2 linked regions of the Caenorhabditis elegans genome follow. The protein of the gene in region 1 purifies or fractionates together with the protein of each later gene. This does not show direct contact. Each region holds a gene or a part of one and is shown on either strand. Other genes may lie near its edges.

Region 1 (8,250 bases):
TACTGAAAAAGAGTGAGATAAATTATTTAATTTCATAAAAACTGTGAATTGGCGAAAATGTGTATTTTTGGAGATTTAATTTTTAAACGGCAAAATCGAACCTATGGCTTAAATATTTCTGTAATTAGCGAAAAAGTAAGGCAAATTCAACAGAAATGACAAAATATACAGATGGAAGTGTTTTTCCTCACAAAAAATAATTTCAAACAATTTCTCGGCAACGGCAATAAATATATATTGAAAGGTTTCATAAACCTAGATTCTAACAATAATCAAACCATGATAAAAGAGAAAATATATTATTTTAACCAATTAGAACCGAACCTCCAGCCCCTGCACTAACGAAAGAAGGGTCAGAGACAACAAAAAGAAACAACAGGGATATAAGGAAAGTTTAGAAAAGACAGAATTCGAGTAGTCCTCGTAAAAAACCGAGGAGCTGAACAAATAAGAAAGAAAAATAATACTGAAAACTGAGAGATGACAGTCTTAATCTCCGTGTTTGCCACATCTCAATTTTCAGAACAGCATCAGATGAAGAAAAAGGAAAAAACATTCAAAACCGGAAGAACTTGTAAAGCCTAAGTCGCCTTGACTTTGTCTTGACGACCTTTTTCCAATTGAAGGGCGATTTGTTGAGCGCGGAGGGTCAATCTCTTCGTGTTTTCCATGACTTGCTCGTGGATGCTGACGGATTTGACACCCATCACCACTTGTCCCAACTTGCTGTCAATTTTAGCTCCTTCGATACGATACGTTCTGATCAAGTCAACAATCCAGCGTTCAGCTTCCTCTTGGCTCATATTCAATCGTCGTGCTAGCATTTCTATGGTAATGCACTGATGAATGCGGCAGAACATCTCGAAAATGAGAAGGCGTGCAGACTCGCGGAAATCTCCAAGGACAGCAGTCAGGAAGAAATCATTGGAGAGAACCTCTTCGCACTTTTGAAGCATCTCTTGAGCCTCGTCGAAATCATATTTGATGTAGAGACAGGTGAGGAAATCAGTGACGGGATCCTTGTAACTATGGCGTTCCTGTAGAAAAACAAATAATTAATCATATTTTCATATAGAAAATAGTTAAACTCACGATGTCAATGACCTTCACCAAATCTTTCAAGCTGTTCTTCTGGCGGCTTTTGCTGGTAACAACGGCAACAGCCAGATAGCGGAGCAAATGTGGCGCCAAAACTTGGATTGCATTCAAATAAGGTTGCTGGTTCAAGAACATTTCGATAATCTCATCACGCCCTTTTGGATAATTGTAGTAGACGAAAAGTGCCCAGTGCATAAGCCACGCACGTTGCGTAACAAGTTCCCATTCCGTGTCGAATGGATTAGCATCGATGTAAGCACGAAGTTTCAGCAAATCGTCACGAGCATGTTCCCATTCTTGGAGCAGAATTTCACTGGCCAACTTTCCGTAAAGAGCGTTCAAATAGTTTGGATCCGCTTGATTGACAAGGTTGCGGTAGTAGTAAAGGCACACGGATGCGACGGTGTAATTTCCGCATTCGTACATGAACTTGCTGTACTTGAAGAGGGTATCGACCATGTCTACTGTGAACTGCAAGAATTAAGATTATTTTCGAAACTGCAAAGCAAAAACGTACATTGTGGTTTTGAGTGAGATGCTCCAAAATACGGACATTTCCATCTCTTTCTCTGTTGTTATCCATCATTTCCTTGACTTCCGGTATTTCCAAAATGGCAACAACGGAGTCCACCTTGCTTTTCAGCTCATCTCTCTCCTTGATAATTTGCTTCTTCTTAGCCTCAATTGCAGCCGGAATAGGTTTTCCATTGTAGGTCTCTATAACACTATCAATCATATTGGTCTTGGTCAAAAGCTGGCGGTGCATTTCGGTCAGGGATTTCTCATCGTAAATCTGCAATTATCATTGATATAAATAAATTCAGCTATTTCAGAATCAACAATTTATTGTTTAAATCTTACTCCTCGTGGTTCGATGAACTCCAAGAGCGGAATGATCAAATGAAGATCGAGAAAAGGCGCCATGCGCTGAGTCAGGTCGAATGTCGACATTTTTACCTGTAAAATAAGCGTATTAGTATAGTAATATGTTCTAATAAAACTCCAATCAATTTTCTTAACGGAAAACATAAATAAAACAAAAACAATGAAATTGCAGAAAGAAAATCGAGAAATTAGGAGAAATTCGCCGGGAAAGGAGGAAATGATAAACAACGCGCGCTATGGAATATCGGAGTGTCGTTGCTACTGCCTGCCAACACGAGCCACCAGCGAAATGAGAACTGCGAGAAGTAGAACTACGAGAAGAATAACCGAAAACTGCAATTTGCGACATTTGAAAAATATTTCGGAGTTTTTTGGTTCTAAAATTTCAGTTAAAAGTTTTTTAATTTAAAATATTCAAATTGAGAAATTACGAACGAATCATAATGTTCCTGGGATTAGGAAGAGTTACAAGATATTAAGACCCGAGCCCGTATCGAGACCCACCCCGAAAAACATTGTGTGGCTTTAAAGCAATGCTTAAATATTGTAATTGTGAAATGTCAGTTTAAAATCACATATTAATTTTTCGAGTGGGTCCCGCAACGATCTCAATAATAGTGTGCCAAATTTTACCGATGTGTCAGAGACACAAGTTTTATGAAATTTCAAATTTTGAAATGCACAGAAAAGCGAACAGTAAAATTTAGAATGCTTTATTATTAATTTTTGGGAACAGACGAGACCGTAAATTCATGTGGTGTCAGGTTGCCCCATTTCGGTTTGATCAACATTAAATTCGGGTATTTGATGTCAGGAGGAATGCCGAATCTACGAAGAATACGATTCAATTCATATGGACCTCAAAACTATGAAGGAGTAATGCATCGAATTATTCACAGACCGTGGAATGGAAAGCGAAGACCAAAAGTGTTCAAGTGAGAATATAAATTATTTGTCGTAGAGCTGGCGAGTGGGCTACATGAAGAGCCCTGATTCTTGAGGGTAGTGTGCCACCCAGTTGAAACAAAACCTGACTATATAGTTTGACTTGTGGGTCTTGGTTACACATATTGTTTCTAAAGATCTTGACATACCGTATTTCCTCTATTAGTTCAACAGACTACTTTACTTTGAAAGGTTATATCTCGGTTCATTTCAAAGATATCATAAAACTATTAACTACAAAACGATATAAAAAGAACTACCAAATATTTCATCAGTTAATTATTTTTGAAAACAACCGAGATATAAGCTCTCAACCGTGAACGATGGGGTGCCATACTAATTGAAGAAATTCTTGCTACCTATCTACTGTAGAGATTAAAGGAAAAAAGCTAAATTATTTTATTTGAAAAATAATAACATTCAGATACAAAATAGACGAATTGGATTGTACACTTGGATGGGATATTGAGAGCGACGATGGACAAATTGCAACCGTCAATTTTATCGAAGAATGCCTTGATTTTGTTGTATGGAAAAACGATAACTATTAATTCAATTTAAGCCAGTTGCTGTTATGTCAGAATACACTGAAATTGACCAAGATATCAAAATAAAAAAGGCAAACAATTTTTAGATCTCAATTTTCAAATAACCGCTAAAATTTGTTCAAAACTGTTTTGGTAGATTTCCAGCTGCCAAATCTTAACTTTTTGGGTGCAAACAGTTTTTTTTTCAAGTTGGAATGTTATATTTTGATATTTGGGTCTTTTCGAATTTTTAAAAATGTCCCCCACTAGCACTACTCCATTTTACCCTCTGTTTTATAAATGTATATGTTATTCAATTACTCTCAAATTATCATATTATTTATATTTTCATTCTAATCCATGCTTTTTCAAAGACTTCATTTTAAAGAAACCTATAATATTATCGAATCCAGATTATAGGAATTAGGCATGTTATGAGGTGTGTAACAGGCGCCAGAAAGCAAATAGTTAGTAGCGAACATTTTTATTTCCCGATAAAATGTTAATTAAACATTTTCAACAAAGAAAATTTACGGAGAAATCAAGGAAAAATCGAAAAAAAAGTGACCTTTCGTGAAACGTGAAAATGTCTTGATGAACTGATGAATCGAGAAGAAAAATCTATTAATCAATATTCATCGAACCAAAATCGACCAATTTCGCAGTATTTTGAATTCATATTTCTCTGGCAAATTGTTGAAATGGCAACGGAAAACAATACAGGTAAGAATTTTATGCAGATTTTCAGAGAAAATAACTAATTTTCAGATGTTTCTGAGAACCAAGAAGAACCTGATGAACTGAGTCCAAAAACGAAAGCTTTTGCTCCAACACTCGAGAAGGTCTGGAAGCTCAAATTTGAGAAAGTTCTCGGTAATCATTTGGAAATTAATTCCAATTTATAATTCATTAATTTACAGGTAGTGGCTCCTATTCCCGTGTGGCACGCGCAACTTTCGGAGAGAAAAAGCTCGAAGTTGCAGCGAAAATCATCAACATTACGCCAACTCGTGAAAAAGAGGACTACATCAAAAAGTTTTTGCCACGTGAAAAAGAGATTGTCAAGCTCTTGAAACACGATAATATTTGTCGTTTGTACGAGATGATTTCATTTCAAGATCACATCATCTTCGTCAATGAGTACTGTGCTGGAGGAGATTTGCTCCGTAAAATGAAGGATATCGTGGCAATGAAAGAGGAAGATGCAAAGTTCACATTTCGTCAACTTATTGCAGCACTTACTGTAAGTTTTATATCAGAAAACTGTTTTTCTTAAATTTATAAATTCAGCATCTGCAATCCTATAACATTGTGCATCGGGATCTCAAATGCGAAAATATCTTTATGGATAAACATGGAAATGTGAAGCTCGGCGACTTCGGATTCTCGAGAATTCTGAAACCGGGTGAAAAATCTGGAACATTCTGTGGATCGCGAGCATATGTGGCTCCAGAAATTTTTCGTGGCAGAGAATATTCTGGAAATGCAGTTGACGTATGGAGTACTGGGGTCATTCTCTACATAATGCTGGCTGGATCAATGCCATTTGATGATCGTGACCCAAGGAAAATGATCGAGAGACAGTTGGCACATAAAATTAAGTAGTTTTTTTTTAAAAGACAACTCAAGTTAAATTTCTCATTTCAGATTCCCGAAAAGTTGCACATCATCGGTCTTTTCGAAGGCTCTGGTCCTTGAGATTCTCCAGCCACATGCACCGAACCGTCCGACCTACAAAGCAATTTGTGAATCTGAATGGCTCCGTACTCAACCGTACTACATGAAACCCAATGAGCCACCAAAAGTATTGGCAACTCGAATTGTGTCACCTGCAACTCCGATTGTTCCTGTCTCAGGAAAACCGAAAGAAGTCAAGAGACAGCAAGGATGAACGGCATGTGAACTTATTGTGACAGTGAATAAAGCATTTTAGTAGATTTATTCTTTTAAAACAAGATTGTAGTTTGTCTGTCATAAAGCGATTTCATGCCTTTGCAGTGTATCAAGAAAAGTACACAACCTCTTCAATTGAACATTTCCATTCGATATTAATCGGAAACACATTTCAGATACATTTCAGACAGTGGAAGTGACGCAAGGGAGCTGTGCTGAGACTTGTGTTTAGGCTTACTATTAGGCTTAGGCTTCAGCTTAGAATTCTATTTAGGATTAGGCTTAGACTTAGGCTTAGGCGTAAGTCTAGTAAAAGCATACTTCAACATTTTCTAGATGACAATGAAGATGGCCGAACTGCTCACCAAATTGAAAAATTTAGTTGACACTGTAGTAATTATATTAATTTTCATGAAAACGGTTGGAATTAGATAACCTCGATTTACTTATAAATTGATTTCATTAGAGGATGACTGAAAAGTCCAAAATTCTAAAAATACTTGTAAAATAGGTATTATTGCAGCTGGAGGTGAGTTAATTCTTGGTTGTACATACAATAAACAGATGTTTTGTTAAATTAAAATAGGTTACTTATGTATTATTTATATCCCCTTACTTTGCAAAAGTAATTTTTTAAATGCAATTTTGAGGAGCATTTGTATATTCAGGCTTCGGAAATGACTATTTCTAAGCCTTAAAAAAATGAAAATTAAATTAAATTCAAAAATGAGATAATTCCATAAATATAAATTTTAAAAAAAGTTCACGGGAACAATTTGAAAATAGTTGGGGAAAAATTGCCAAAGTTCATTATTTTATTCGTGACCCTATATTCTCCCTCGTTTAAGCTGTACTGCCTCGGTTTTTTTCGCAAATTAAATTTATTTCTCGATATCTCCAGTCTGCGATACACAGCTTTTCTTCTTGAAAAGCTTTTAAAGTGAGTTTTGGCCATAAAGTTTGTAACTTTATCATTAATGTTTTAGAGTTTTGTCTAATCATGATTTTGAGCTGAATTTAAATAGAAAATTACACTTTTTGAAAGTTTCGAACCGAAAATATGTACATTTCCTTTTTTCAATTTGTTTTTCTTTCTGTTATCCAAATTTTTCGCTTTGATTGAAGGTTTTTCTTTAGAAATAATTAAATATTTCAGACAACTTCAATATGGCAGGCCAAAGCAAGATCATCGTTGGAGGAGTAATCGGCGGAACATCTGAACAAGAGTAAATTGAATTAAAAGGTTATCGAAAAATAATTTTTTTCAAATTTCAGGCCAAAAGGATTTCTTGATTTACCGGTGGAACTCTACCAAAAAATTATTGGAAAACTGGATTTACACGAGAGGTGAATTACAAAACAATGAGTATTGAAATAATTATTATGATTTTTTTAGATTTCGCGTACGAAAAAGCAATCAAACTCTCCGCCAGTTCATTGATCAAATGGATCCTGCAATTTCACAAATCCGTGTGTCCATTTCTGATAGTGACAGTAAAGAAGTGAAGGTCACGTATTTTCATGAATTCAAGGAGAAGCGCAAACAGTATGAAGTTCACTATCAGCAAGAATCAAATGACTGTGTCGTATTGAAGAATGCGATGATTGGGTTTCAAGAAGTGTTCGAGTTATGGCAGAAATGCTAAGCTCGTCGATATATCCGGATGTGAAAAACATTTCTACTTGTGGACTTCCATCTTCTCAAATTGCTCAAATTCTTCCGAGCTTCCAGGCTGGAAAGCTGGAAAATCTGGATTTATACTATTGTGGAAAACCGACGGCTGAAGATATGGAAACAATTGTCAACTCTGATCAGTGGAAAAATGCAAAAAATATTAGCGGATTTCGTGGTTTGAGTAATATTCGAATCAAGGATCTCCTTCATTTCTCACTTGTTTGCGTCGATTATGCAACAATTTCGGTGGAAACAGCTATTGAAATCAAGGATGTTAGTTTGATAAGTCTAGTTTCGCTGAATTTCACTTTAATATTATTTCAGATTTTGTTGACTTCTAGTAACATCAAGCATGCATATTTCACCTCGAAAAGTGTCTTGGACGTCAATGTTATTCGAGTTTTTGATCCGAAAGCAGCCAAAGTTCATCGAAAAAGGAATCTTTCCAATTTGGTGCGAAACACGGATTTTGCAGATTTCACATTTTCGAGCAACCAAAAAGTTCTCCGTTTCAAGAAGAAAAATTAATTCCCACTACTAGAACTGTCTTGTGTTTGAATTGTGTATTTTCAAAATGAAGTGATCAGATTTTTTTTTGATTAACTCCTAAGATGGTAATTATCTTGGAGAGTACATGTGTGTTATACATTATTTAGGTAAAGATTTGATAATGTTGCAAAGGTGCGCGCCGTTGGAATAAGGTTTTCAGAATAATTTCTGGGCCCTCCGGCCAGTTCGTGACAAAAGTTTCCACTATCATCTGCATATTTATTTTTTTTGCCCTTCCTTTTGTTTTGTAGACCGATTAGAGTACACAAAACTTGGACGATGGCAGAACCATCTGCCATTTGGTGAAAAAAGTTTTACCCGTTTCTTTCTTCCTGTTCAAAATTGACATTTGTTGTGGTTGGAGGTGATGGTCCACTGTTCGTGAATCCTGGAGTTGTGATGTCTTGCCGACGTGCCTGCCTTATACCTTCCTGCATCACATTGACCTTTGCAATCTGCTCGGTCCCCCTTGCCATCGAATCATTGATCAGTGACAGCTGCCTCACCTTATCGGCAATGCTCTCAATTTCAGAGCTCACACAATTTTTCGCGGTCTCCAAATCGGTGACGCTCTTGCGACGTGAGTAGGATCTTGCAATTTGGCTTGGTGCCGGATTTGGGGGAAATTGGACGAATTTCACTGATAGATTCTTCGGAGCATTCTGAAAAATACAACAA
Region 2 (11,885 bases), 5.7 Mb from region 1:
GTACGTGACCTTAAAATGGGAATTGCTTGTTATGTAAACAAGTTTGTTTTGATAACAATATGTTTGCCAGAACGACAAAAACAAACTGAAAAAGGGTTTGATTTAGTTTGAATTTGATTCAAAGTCAGCGATGGCTCCCAACAGCACTCCTCCGCCAACCTTCTTCGGAAGAATCGTGTTCCATCTCACATCCGACGATGTCTTCCGTACCGCCATCTTTGCCTTCATCGCATCGTTTACTGTGATTGCTGCAGTGGCTTCTGTGACTGGAAGCTTCCTTGTAGGGCTTCTCGCAAGTGTGATCGTTCTTTTGGTGGCTTATGCAGTTGGCGAAAGTTGTGAATTCATCAACAATCAGATTCTGATGCCGGCCGCGTTTTTGGGATGTGTAAGTTTTTTTCCTGGTTTTTTAAAAGTTTTTCGCTAGGCAATTTCAATATTTTAAATTTTCCAGGCAGTCGCAGTGAACTTGGTCTACACGGTAGCTCACGAAGGAGAGCTCTGGGAATATTTTTCTCGATATTTCCTCTTCCTCTCCGTGTTCCATTTCTCCGAATTCGTCTTCACAGCACTGACCAATCGCCGAACTCTTGGACCCGATTCGTTCCTTTTGAAGCATTCTTTTGGATATTGGCTTGCTGCATCCATTGGTTGGATTGAGTTTTTGATTGAGGTAAGAATAAACTTTTAAGTGTAAACAAACTAAGACACATGTCTTGTTAGTAGAATATCAAAAATTCAAATAAAACATTTTAACAGTTGTGTCGTTCCAGGCCAACTTCTACCCCGAAATCAAGATGTATTCGGTTCTCTGGATTGGAACATTCGGTTGTATCATTGGAGAGATTGTCAGAAAAGTCGGTATGGTTCATGCTGGATTGGCATTCACTCATCTTATGGCAAGGACCAAAAGATCAGGCCACACTCTTATCAATACCGGGATCTACGCGTACATGCGCCATCCTGGATATTTTGGTTGGTGATTTTGGAATTTTTTAGAAATATAAATACTTTTATTTTTCAGGTTGGTTCATTTGGGCTGTCTCGACTCAAATTGTTCTCTGTAATCCAATTTCCTTTGTTATCTACACTTTTGTCACGTGGCGTTTCTTCGCCAACCGAATCGAAATTGAAGAGAAGGATTTGATTTCATTCTTTGGTGATGATTATGCCGAGTATCAACGCAAAACTTGGTCTGGAGTTCCATTTGCTCGTGGATATCAGAAGCCATAAATTGATAAAATAATAATAATTCGTCTTGTTTTATTCTTGCTAGAAAAATCTAATAAAGGTTAATAACCGCAAACTTGTAGTTCTGATTATTTTTCAAGTTTAAGGATTTGAATTTTGGAAACTGGAATTAGTTTTCAACTTTTGCAATCAATAGTCAATATGGAAAAACAAATAGTTACGCATTATTTCCCATATCAATTTCTGTTCTAGCCCTTCTGCTTAATTTGAAAAATACTTGTTCTTGCGTGACAATATAAAGAATTACCATATTGATCAAGGCGTGCTATTCTAATTTACGAAAAGAAAAAATGTTGTTCAAAAAGTTCAAAGAAAATCACTATTTGATTTATTCCCTGATTGTTGTAAAGAAAAGCTGAAGCGGATAAAAGAAGAAGATGAGTGTTACAGTTGAGCAGGTAAGTCAACTTTTTTCAAAGCTTAGCACGTTCAACGCTGACTCTTTCAGGAAGCTTATGAAATGCCAGCTGACAATAAAAAAGTCATGCTGAAAATCGAAGAAGTACATCTTCACTCGTGTGGCGTCTTCAGCAATGTCTACAAAGGAATACTCCGAGAGCCATATGAGAAGAAGATCGCCATCAAGAAAAGTTGGCCGGAAAAGGGAGAACGCAATTTCGAGTTCATCTTCTTGACGGGTCGCGAACGGGCTAAACACAAGAACGTGATTCATATGATTTTTGCGTTTAGCCACAGTTATGACACAAAGGTTTGCCACAAAGCACTTTCGTAGAATTCAAGGAACTCCTGAATTTCCAGGTTTGTGAATCCTACGTCTTCGACTTTATGCCAAACACCTTGGCCGAAGTGATTCGCCAGAAGCTCACGGACCTCGACATTCGCCTTTACACGTGGCAAATATTCTCCGGATTGAAATACCTGGAGGAACACAAGGTTGTCCATCGAGACCTGAAGCCGGTGAACATTCTGGTTGATCATGACACCGCATTCCTGAAGATCAGTGACTTCGGGTCAGCAAAGATCATCGTGAAGGGGAAGGCAAACAACTTCTATCAGGTCACACGCTTCTACAGACCGCCCGAATTGTTGATGAAAGCAATGGAATACAATTCCACAGTTGGTTAGTTGACATTTCCTCAGTTTAATGCAAACTGTTTTATGAATTCCAGATGTATGGTCTGCCGGATGTATCATGGCAGAGATGGTGAAGCGTCATGTGGTTTTCCCGGGAAGAGATAGTGCTCATCAGTTGAAACTCTACTGCCGCTGCTTTGGTGCCCCAAATGAGCAAGACATTAGTGCGATGAAGGGAGAAAAATTGGAGAAAGAGTATTGGAAGTTTACGAAAGGATTCGGACTTCAAAGAGTACGAGCATTATTCACAATTAGGAATAATTGAATATTTTTGTAGCTTGTGAACGATATCTCACCTGATCAGCTACAGTTCATCAAGAGAATCCTGGTGTATGCTCCCGAGAAACGTCTTCGTGGCAAACAATTGCTTCAGGACGACTTCTTCCGTCCGCTCTTCAAAGCTGGAGCAGTTCGTCACAACGGACAGAAGATTTCTGACGTCATAACTGCTGCTGATTACAAGCGAGCTGCTGAGTATGTGTACCTGAGAAAAGTATTATAGTGAACATTTATCTTACTTTCAGAAACGAAGAATCCTCCGCATGCCGTCTCGCGCAATTGGTCAAGACGGACAACAAGGATCTTGGGATTCCGTATTGTGAGAAGAGCAACTCATATGAGAATGTTTATGCGAGAAGATCAACTCTTATCCCGGTTAGCATTCAATATAAACGACCATCTAATCTAAAAATTATTACAGAAAGAGCAGAAGATGGCTCGTGACAACAAGTCGAAAGAGGACAGCTCTGACGATCGACGTGTTGCACCTTCTAGTGGAGAGGCTCCTTCGGCTCCTGGCAAGCGTTCCGAGTCCAACAAGACCGCGGCAATCGCCAAGAAATCGACAATGAAGTCGGTGATGAACGCACCACCGCCCCGTCAGAAACCAGAATAGTACTACTTGATATTTAGTGTAGAGTTTTTTAGGAAATAAAGAATAGCGAGAGTTGTGAACTGCAATGGCAAACTGTTCCGTTCGAAGTTTTATAGTATCTAACTAGCAGACGGTAGACATTTTTGAACTGACAGTGAGAGAACTATAACGTTGAATAATCCTTATGAAATATTCACCTCCTGCTGATTTCTTATGTACCTCTTCAAACATCTATTTTGAATTAGTCTTACTAGCTCTATGAAGCTTTAAAATTGAGAATTCTCTTGGCTTTTTATGCTATACTTCTTTTGATACCTCTATTGATCCAACTTCTTAGATGAGCAGAGAAACTTGAACGCTTTTATGAAGTTCCAAGAAGATTCTGCAAATAGTTGATTAACAAGCGAACTTCCATAGAAAACTTTAATTCCGCTAAACAAGTTTTAAATAATTCAAATTTTAAAAATATATTTCAGGATATACTTTGATCGTGACTTGAACAGGTGCAGTTTTCCTTTATTCTTCCAAAGTCAACGACAATTAAAAATAATCTTTACTTCGTTACTCAACCATTTGTGAACTCTATAGCTTCTAGGAAAGAGGAAAAAGTTGTCTTTTTTACGCCACTTCTCGATCAAAAACCAAACCTTTATTCCGAACAAAAGAGAGAACTCTTTTCTTTTTTCAAATAAACTTCAAAACTCAATAAACTATGAACATTGACTGAGCCTACCGTAGTTGGAAAAAGCTTGTGCTCTCAAAGAATTAGAGCCATAGAAAATTAGATTTATTGAATAAGGGAAAATTCTTGAGGGGTGGGTGAATTAATATTCTAGGTCAATAAATCAAATTTAGCTATGACTCATGCTTCAGGTAATAAAAGTTTTCATTTAAAGCAGAATTACGGAAAATATAGTCAAAATGCATCGGCTTATCAGATATCAGATATCATTCAACATTCCACAAGAAATTTTACCATATCCCAGTTCTGCAAGCACTGACTCATTTTCTTCAAAATTACACCTGTTTAACAATTTTCAGAAAAGCACCAAATTTTTTCGCAATTAGAAATTCTAGTTCTAGGGAAACATTGCAGTAGAAGAAAAAACGGGAGTGATTAATTTTACTGAATTCTTTTTCGGAATTCTTTTCCAGAAATTAGACCAATGAAGTCATTTTTGGCAAATGGTACGCAAGAAGAGGACGGGGAATGAAAAAAAGTTCATTCGTAAAACTTTTCTCCAAAATTTATTTATTTTTAATAAAATTTGAATTCCCTTCAGTTTCAGAAACATCACTTGCCGAGTTCATCATTTCTATCATCCCAATTCCATATCCAATTCCTGAATCATATCCTTGTCTAGACAATAAGTACATTTATTTTATAACCTACTACAACTCATACATCCTCACTCTCTTTTACTTTTCAGTTAACTAATTCCCAAGTCATGTTCAATCCAATGATCACAAATTTCTCAAAACTGAAATGTGAATCTCCTCTAATTTCACGAATTTATCACAGCTTAATCTCTCAAAAACAAACCCCTACTCCCTCATAGCAGAGAAAGAAAAAAAAGCTCTGAAATTTTTTTGGATACTCTGTTTTTGCTGCTCCATTTGAGCCCACGAGTCGCGTAAGAGAGCCGCGCGCGCCGGCTCCTCCCTGCTCTCAAAACTCTTTCACCGTCGGCGTCTCCGTCGTCTATCGATTCAGAAGACGTCGGTGCCCAGAGCCGACGTGAAGCCGACTCATTCTAGGATGCGGGCGTCCACCGCTTGCCTCGTCGCGCTTCTCGCGCCCTTTTATATTTCCGCTTTGCCAGTTGAATATTTCTACGGGGATGAACAACAGCCAATTGAGGAGGGAGCCGAGAACAGTGCAGTATTTGAACAAGATAGGGAGCTGGTTAGTTTCTCATTTTTATTTTAGCTAGTTTTTTTATTCGAAAGGTAAGGGCTGAAACTGTTTGTCTGAAAATTTCTGACTTACTGTTTTTTTTAAATATTTCTTTTGAAAGAAGCTTTCTTATTCAAATTCTTGTAGCCACTGATATCAACTATCATTTAACGTTTTTGATAACCCACGCACACGACATTCCCTGGCTAGGTATATGTATCAACTCACTGGTGTTACTTTCTTAGAATGCATGCCAGTTACTCACACTTTCCGATTTCTATATAGACTTCCGTGTTCAAGTTTCGCATTCTTGGAAGTCAGAAGTTCTGCTAAAAGATTTTGTATATATTTTCAATAAACTAACTGAACTGTGTTCCCAATGTGGGTTTTTTCCGGATCTTAATTGATAAGTTCTAAACTTTGCACAGTTTTTGAAAGAACTTTTCTCATGTTGAAAAATAACTTACTCTCTATTCGTCACTTTTCAATATTTCGCTGGCTTCGTTTTCCAATTTCTCATTATTCTTGTTTTCGGCTTCAACCGAAATTAGGATACATTGTAGTGTGAACCTAGCGAATTTGAGGTCAATTTCTTGCTGAGATCTCGAGTTTACATGAGCCCAGTAAACTTTAACCTTTAAGATGATCGGAGATTATTTTTTATGACAGAAAGTATTTCCTTTGTCATTCTGAACATAGTTAGTTTTGTGATGTGACCATAATGTCTGAAGACCAGTTGCCTGTTCCTAGTAGGCACTGCCTATTACAGTTGTCATCCTTTTGAAATTTAATAGCTACTCAATTTATTGTATGTGCACTTTTTCAAACACCGAAAGCTTCAGTTGAAAAGCACGTAGGCAGGCAGGCATGAGATAGATACGAAGGCGCGTACATGTGCCTGCCTGCAGTTTATATGCATTAAAAAGCACATGCTGCACGCAGCACAAATCTTACCATTCAAAATGCTCACATTGCAGCCGTTTGTGAGTCAAGTGCGCCCTAAAGATGATGCTCCTTTAAGGAATGTCATAGAAGTGATACTTGAGACAAAATGAATGATTAATAGCTTTTTTTCATGCTGAAAACGTAGGCTTCATAAATAATTTAAATCTTCCATCTTTGCTCTCGAATTTCCTAGCATTTCAGAAAACCACCGTTCTCCAAACTCCAAATGTCTGGTAGAGAACTTTCAAATGAATGTAAATTTGCCTTCGGCCATTTAACATCTCTCTTCCTCTTTCCAATTTTGTTGAATGACGTCATTTGGTTCTCTAGTGTCTCTTCTCTTGAGTACACTCCTATAGATTTGACTAGAAAAGAGGCAACGAGTGTTTCTTGGAATCCCAAAAATGTCAGTTAAAATATTGTTTGCAAGATCTCATAGATGCTAATCAAAAACTAAAAATTGGAGAAAACGGGGACAAGATTTTGAGGCATTTGAAGTTCTCCTAACGCCTACGCCTACATAACTACATTTGCCTACTACAGCCAAATTTCCTGTCATCCTTTTCAAATTTAATAGATACATTCCATCAGTTTATTAATTTAGGCAGGCATGAGGTAGGTACGCATGCGTAAGCATCGACCTGCCTACAGTTAATAGGCAATGTAATTTTACAAGTGCTCCACATGACGCCTATTCTATTTTACATTTCAAGTAAAATTATCGACTGTTTCTCGCACGGACACCGCCTCTGAAAAAGTTGACCTAAACCTCGGCAGTTTGAAAAATAGAAACGGAAAATGCTTCCTACCAATGAGAAAAATTTCAAATTATACATCAAAGTAAATACTAACATCGTGGCTAAATTCATCATTTTCCGTACAAAATCTGCAAAAACGCCATCCGATTTTGTTTTTTTCTTCTGCTAAAAAACCAAACAAAAAAGAGAAATTTAATACGGAAACATGTGTGGGCTGATGTGAAGATTGGAAGTATAATATTCCTGAGATGAGCCAAAAAAACGAGCTCATTTCGAATTTTCATGTCATCTCCACATCCTCATCTCCCTGTTCGTTGAAAATGTATGAGCCGCCGCTTTCACACGGGGCTCTTTCATGAGTCAGAACTCGAGGCTCATTAGTCGCACAAAGTGTGTGTTTTTTGTGTGTGAGTGTGTGTGTGTGTGTGTGTGTGTGTGTGTGTCTGTCAGGCATTATATAGCAATATAAAGAAGAATACTCACGAACAGGGGGCAATAACAACTTTGTCTCTTACTCATGAAAACGGAAACAAGGAAATTGGTTCTGAAAGGGTGGAGGGTGAGAAAATTGAGAAAAAAAGAGGAGAAACGGAAATACAAAAAGTTCTTCGAGCTTAAGCTTGTTCCGCTCATGATCTTGAGCAGCATGACTTTTGCTTTCAATTTTATGTGTGAGCATGGGGAAACTAAATTTCTGGAAACTTCTAGCATCACTTTTAGTAAGAGCACCTCTTCCCGCATCTTCACTGAGCCTCCTGGGCCCTAGCGGCAGAAATTTGACAAAATTTGGCACATAATTTACAGACTATTTGTATGATAAATTTCATTAAAAAGTCTATCAAAATTTTCTCAAAATGTCTGAAATTATTTGAAAGTTGGCAATTTTCCAAAGCTTTTACTGATAATTTTGAAACTTACGACACACTTTAAACATTTAAAACCCCTCATTAAATCTAGACTAACACCAGTTTTCTAAACATAATATTTTTCAGATTGGACTATTCAACCCCAGCAAAGAAATCGGTCAAGTGAGCGGTTTGGCAGTGAACAAAAATGGACATATCGTTGCATTCCATAGATCAGGTCGTGTTTGGGATGAGAAGAGCTTCAATGATCACGAGACATTCAATAAGGATTTGGGAGTGATTAATAACAAGACCATCGCAATTATTTCAAGAGAAAAGAAAGTGATTGATGAGTTCGGAGCAGGGCTCTTCTACATGCCACATGGTCTGACAATTGACAATAATGGTGATTATTGGGTGACTGATGTTGGAAGTCATCAAGTACATAAAATCGATGCAAAGACACAAAAGATAGTGATGAGCTTGGGTGAGAAAATGGTTCCCGGAGAGGATCAAGCTCATTTCTGCAAGCCAACTGATGTGGCAGTGGCTAAGAATGGTCATATCTTTGTGGCCGATGGGTACTGTAACAGCCGTATTCTCAAGTTTGACGCCAAGGGAAATCTGATGGCTCAGATCAATGCAGCTACTGGTAAGGGAGAAGGGGAGAAACATATTTGGAAATTTTTGAGTTTTTTTTTTCCAGCAAAAAAAAACTGTAGAACCTGCACCTCCATTTAAGATAGTTTTCGCAAATTTCAAAACGTTTTTTCTGTGAAAAAGTTTAACACATGGCCGAGTTATTTTGTTTTTCTAGGCCACCGTTTTCAACTTCTTCGCATTTGTCGATTTACGCATCTTGTGTACTTCTCTAGAAGAAGTGTGAATTTTTTGCGTAACGGTTTTGGCATATTTATGAAAAAAATTATTTAATTTGTAAAATTTTCAAATTCATTTCGAGGTGTTGACTACCTGCGTAAATCGACACATGGCCGTGGCCGCGTTTCCGTATTTTTTTATACTTTTTTAATTTTCTATAAGGCTTTTCTAGTTGCTCATTGAGCCCTACGCTGCTTTCAGCTCAAAATCTAATCAAATTAGACTAAAACATCCCTTTTCGATCAAGAATTGCTGAGCAAAACCTTGAAAAGATCTCATTATTCTGATGCACATGTAATCCATTATTTCAAATGAATAATCCAATCCAAAATATAAATATTTCTGAATTGATTTTTGATCAAACAACTCTTTTCAGAAGAAAACCAACCATCTGAATTCGTCGTTCCACACTCTTTGTCTCTCATTGAGGATATGAATATTGTCTGCGTTGCTGACAGGTTAGTCTTCATTTCTTGAACTTTTGCGCGTAAAATTTGTTGTCTTCAAAACTGACTCAATGCGTCATAATTGGCACGTAAGTTTAGTATAAACTCGTTCTTTATTCTGGGGACGCAGAAGGATCTCGACATGGAAACGCGCTCCACGGATAATTGAAAACGCACCGCCCCCGAACCATGGGTCTCGTTAGGTATTTGGTAGGAAACCCGTTAATTCAAACGGGTTTCTTTGGTTTCGGAAATTTTGAAGCATTTTCGCTTTTTTTTCAATTATTTTATTGAATCGAAATGATTTTAAATAATTTTTTGAACATAGCATTATGAATTTTATATCATCAATTTCGACATACAAATTATTTTAAAAAACGAAAAATTTGCTGCCAAAAACCTAACGAGACCCAACGTTTAGGGACGGAGCCAATTTAATTTGCCATGGAGCGCGTTTCTAGATCAATTTCAAAAGTGAATAAAACGAAAGAAGAGATAACTATTAATTTATTATAAGTACACCCATTTTGATGAGAAAATATGCAAATTTTATTGAAAATAATATCTCAAAACTAATTTTCAGAGAAAACCAGCGTGTTCAATGCTTCTCAGCTGGTCTTTCGGAGGGAGATCGTACACTTCCAACAGGAATTCCAATAACTTCGGCCACCGACATTGGCCGTGTGTTCGCAATTCGAGAGCGTGAGCACTATCTGATTGGTGTGACGGGTAACAGTGAAGACGTTGAAGCACAAATGTTCTCAATTGATATGCAAACTGGAAAGACTGAGACATTCGCAAAAGGAGTTCGTAATACTCATGCACTTGCAATTGCTGCCGACGGAGTCATGTTCGTGTCACAGTTGGAGCCAAGCAGAATTCTTGAGATCAGACTTTTGTAATCTAATTTTTGTCATCATCGTTGTCGCTGAAAACAAAAGAAGAGAGAAAAATGAATTTTTATTTAATGTTATTCCCAAGAGTGTTTCTTTTTTCGCCTTTCATTGACATTTATTAGCATCTTTGCTGATGTTTGTATTGGTTTTTTGAGAGAGAGACAAAGGAGAACTTCTTCGAATGATACAAATCACCCGATACAGGAATCTATAGGGGAATTAAATTAGATCGGGGATATTCCGAGAAATATACATTGGGTTTGGACAAGTGTGTGTGTGTGGGATGGAGAGAACGGGGCAACATCATGGTGGGTAGTACAAAATGTGTGTCGATGGGGGATACAAGATGACTGAGAAGTGAGGAATCTACTTTGGTATTTCAAATTATTCTTTTTTTTTTGGAGATGAATGATTACTACGAAAATTGGGAGAGCAACTCGTCGAACGTTTGGGGGGAATTTTGGGGGGGTTTTCTAGTCATGGTTTATATCAGATAAGATATATGACAAAAATATTATGAGCTGTTTAAGCTTGAGTTAGGGGTTGAACATCGGTTGGAAGACGAGTGTATGGTGGTGGACGAGTGAAGTCAACAGCGAAGGCGACTGATGTCGATTGGAGTTGTTGGCCGATAGCTTCAGCAACCTGGAAATATATCGTGAAATTTTATTGTGCAAAAATGGAGAATTTTTCTAATTTTTCTCCAAAGCTACATTGCAATCTGAGACTTTTTGGAAACATTTTTAAAGATTTTTTTGCTAAAAATACCGAATATAACTGTAAAAATGTTTTTAGAATTTTCCTGAATTTTTTTAATATTCTTTTTCAATTTTGAAACAAAAAAGGTTCATTTATTTTCGAATTACCGCGCAAATGAGTGACAAATTGGGTTTGCTTCATTTTTGTCTTATAATGTGAAACATAATTAGTCAACTTTTTTTTTCGCGTTTTTCACGATTTTTAGTTTTCTTTGCGGTAATTCCAAAATAATTCAGCCCTTTTTATTTTGATTGGCGAAATTTTTTTTAATTATCTAAAATTAAGAAATATTATATAACAAGTTATATTCAGTATAGTATATTGGGACGTCGGTTTTCGGTTCTCGTTGTTTTTGAGAGAAAATCGAAAAATTTTAAATTTAAAAAAAACTAAAATTTTCGATTTTCCGAAAAATCAAAATTATTCAACTTACATTCTTGTCTCCGTAGAACGAATAGCACTTGCAGACAACCTTCATGCACCAGACATGGACGAGAACTCCTGTGAAATGAATAAGAATGGCTGAAGCTGGATTCTCTCCATTCATATTCTGGTACGACTTGGTATCCACAAAGTTGATGATATCAAGTGATATTTGGAAGATTGCCAAGAATAAGGCTATGGCAGCAAATGCGATGTACGGAATGAGAAGGGATCGGCGGTTGGTACGAACTCCGTGGAGCATCATGAGAACCTGAAAATAAAATTTATAAGAAGTCTGAAAAACCAAAAAAAAAAACTAACGAGTCCGAGTTGAAGTGTGAGAGCTGAGAGCAATGAGGATACATAACGGGCCATGTAGTAGTTGATTGACCATTCTTTCGATCCTTCCGTCGTGTCTTCCACTTTCAGTGCTGATGTGTAGGCGAACAGAAGTGAGATCGAGAAGAGGGCGATGACAAATAATTGGGTCATTCCAATGTACTTGGTTGCCTGGAAGATTGATCATTTTTCTAAGTATGTTATTTAATTTTCTGATAACGTATCAATTTTTATTAAAGGTGGATTACCGAAATTTTTTGAATTTAAAGCTGAGACTATTCTTTTTAACCCTGAACTTTGAACAACCATAACCTTTTTCGGAGAAATTTTCAGAACATTTCATTTTGAATTTCGGTAGTTTTTGGTCATTTTGGGTCTAACAAAATTTCATTCTGATGTTCTTATTCTTAAAAACCAATTCCAGAAAATTATTAATATAATCCTTTTTCTTCGGATTTGATTACATTATTTTTTCATA

What was found.
Region 2: the proteins of tag-344 (region 1) and pgal-1 fractionate together in Caenorhabditis elegans (co-fractionation; one large-scale study listed by BioGRID). This does not show direct contact.

Annotation. Positions count from the first base shown.
Region 1 is NC_003279.8:10,640,227-10,648,476, forward strand, and holds tag-344 (Protein kinase domain-containing protein), read left to right. Parts: upstream 1-4,018; 5' UTR 4,019-4,057; coding exon 4,058-4,178; intron 4,179-4,223; coding exon 4,224-4,328; intron 4,329-4,375; coding exon 4,376-4,698; intron 4,699-4,745; coding exon 4,746-5,056; intron 5,057-5,102; coding exon 5,103-5,346; 3' UTR 5,347-5,391; downstream 5,392-8,250. Other genes in the region: cdc-26 (Anaphase-promoting complex subunit CDC26), read right to left, coding at 1-1; eif-3.E (Eukaryotic translation initiation factor 3 subunit E), read right to left, coding at 582-1,037, 1,093-1,569, 1,616-1,891, 1,960-2,049; B0511.17 (DUF4283 domain-containing protein), read left to right, coding at 2,803-2,918, 3,353-3,479; fbxa-125 (DUF38 domain-containing protein), read left to right, coding at 6,979-7,296, 7,348-7,551.
Region 2 is NC_003279.8:4,901,868-4,913,752, forward strand, and holds pgal-1 (putative peptidyl-alpha-hydroxyglycine alpha-amidating lyase pgal-1), read left to right. Parts: upstream 1-4,971; 5' UTR 4,972-4,979; coding exon 4,980-5,126; intron 5,127-7,812; coding exon 7,813-8,317; intron 8,318-8,920; coding exon 8,921-9,002; intron 9,003-9,573; coding exon 9,574-9,892; 3' UTR 9,893-9,962; downstream 9,963-11,885. Other genes in the region: icmt-1 (Protein-S-isoprenylcysteine O-methyltransferase), read left to right, coding at 131-388, 455-673, 774-975, 1,025-1,233; F21F3.2 (Protein kinase domain-containing protein), read left to right, coding at 1,629-1,649, 1,700-1,960, 2,011-2,332, 2,382-2,578, 2,624-2,820, 2,871-3,000, 3,047-3,241; F21F3.6 (DUF4149 domain-containing protein), read right to left, coding at 10,412-10,531, 11,079-11,339, 11,390-11,578. UniProt on the Caenorhabditis elegans protein: Probable lyase that catalyzes an essential reaction in C-terminal alpha-amidation of peptides. Mediates the dismutation of the unstable peptidyl(2-hydroxyglycine) intermediate to glyoxylate and the corresponding desglycine peptide amide.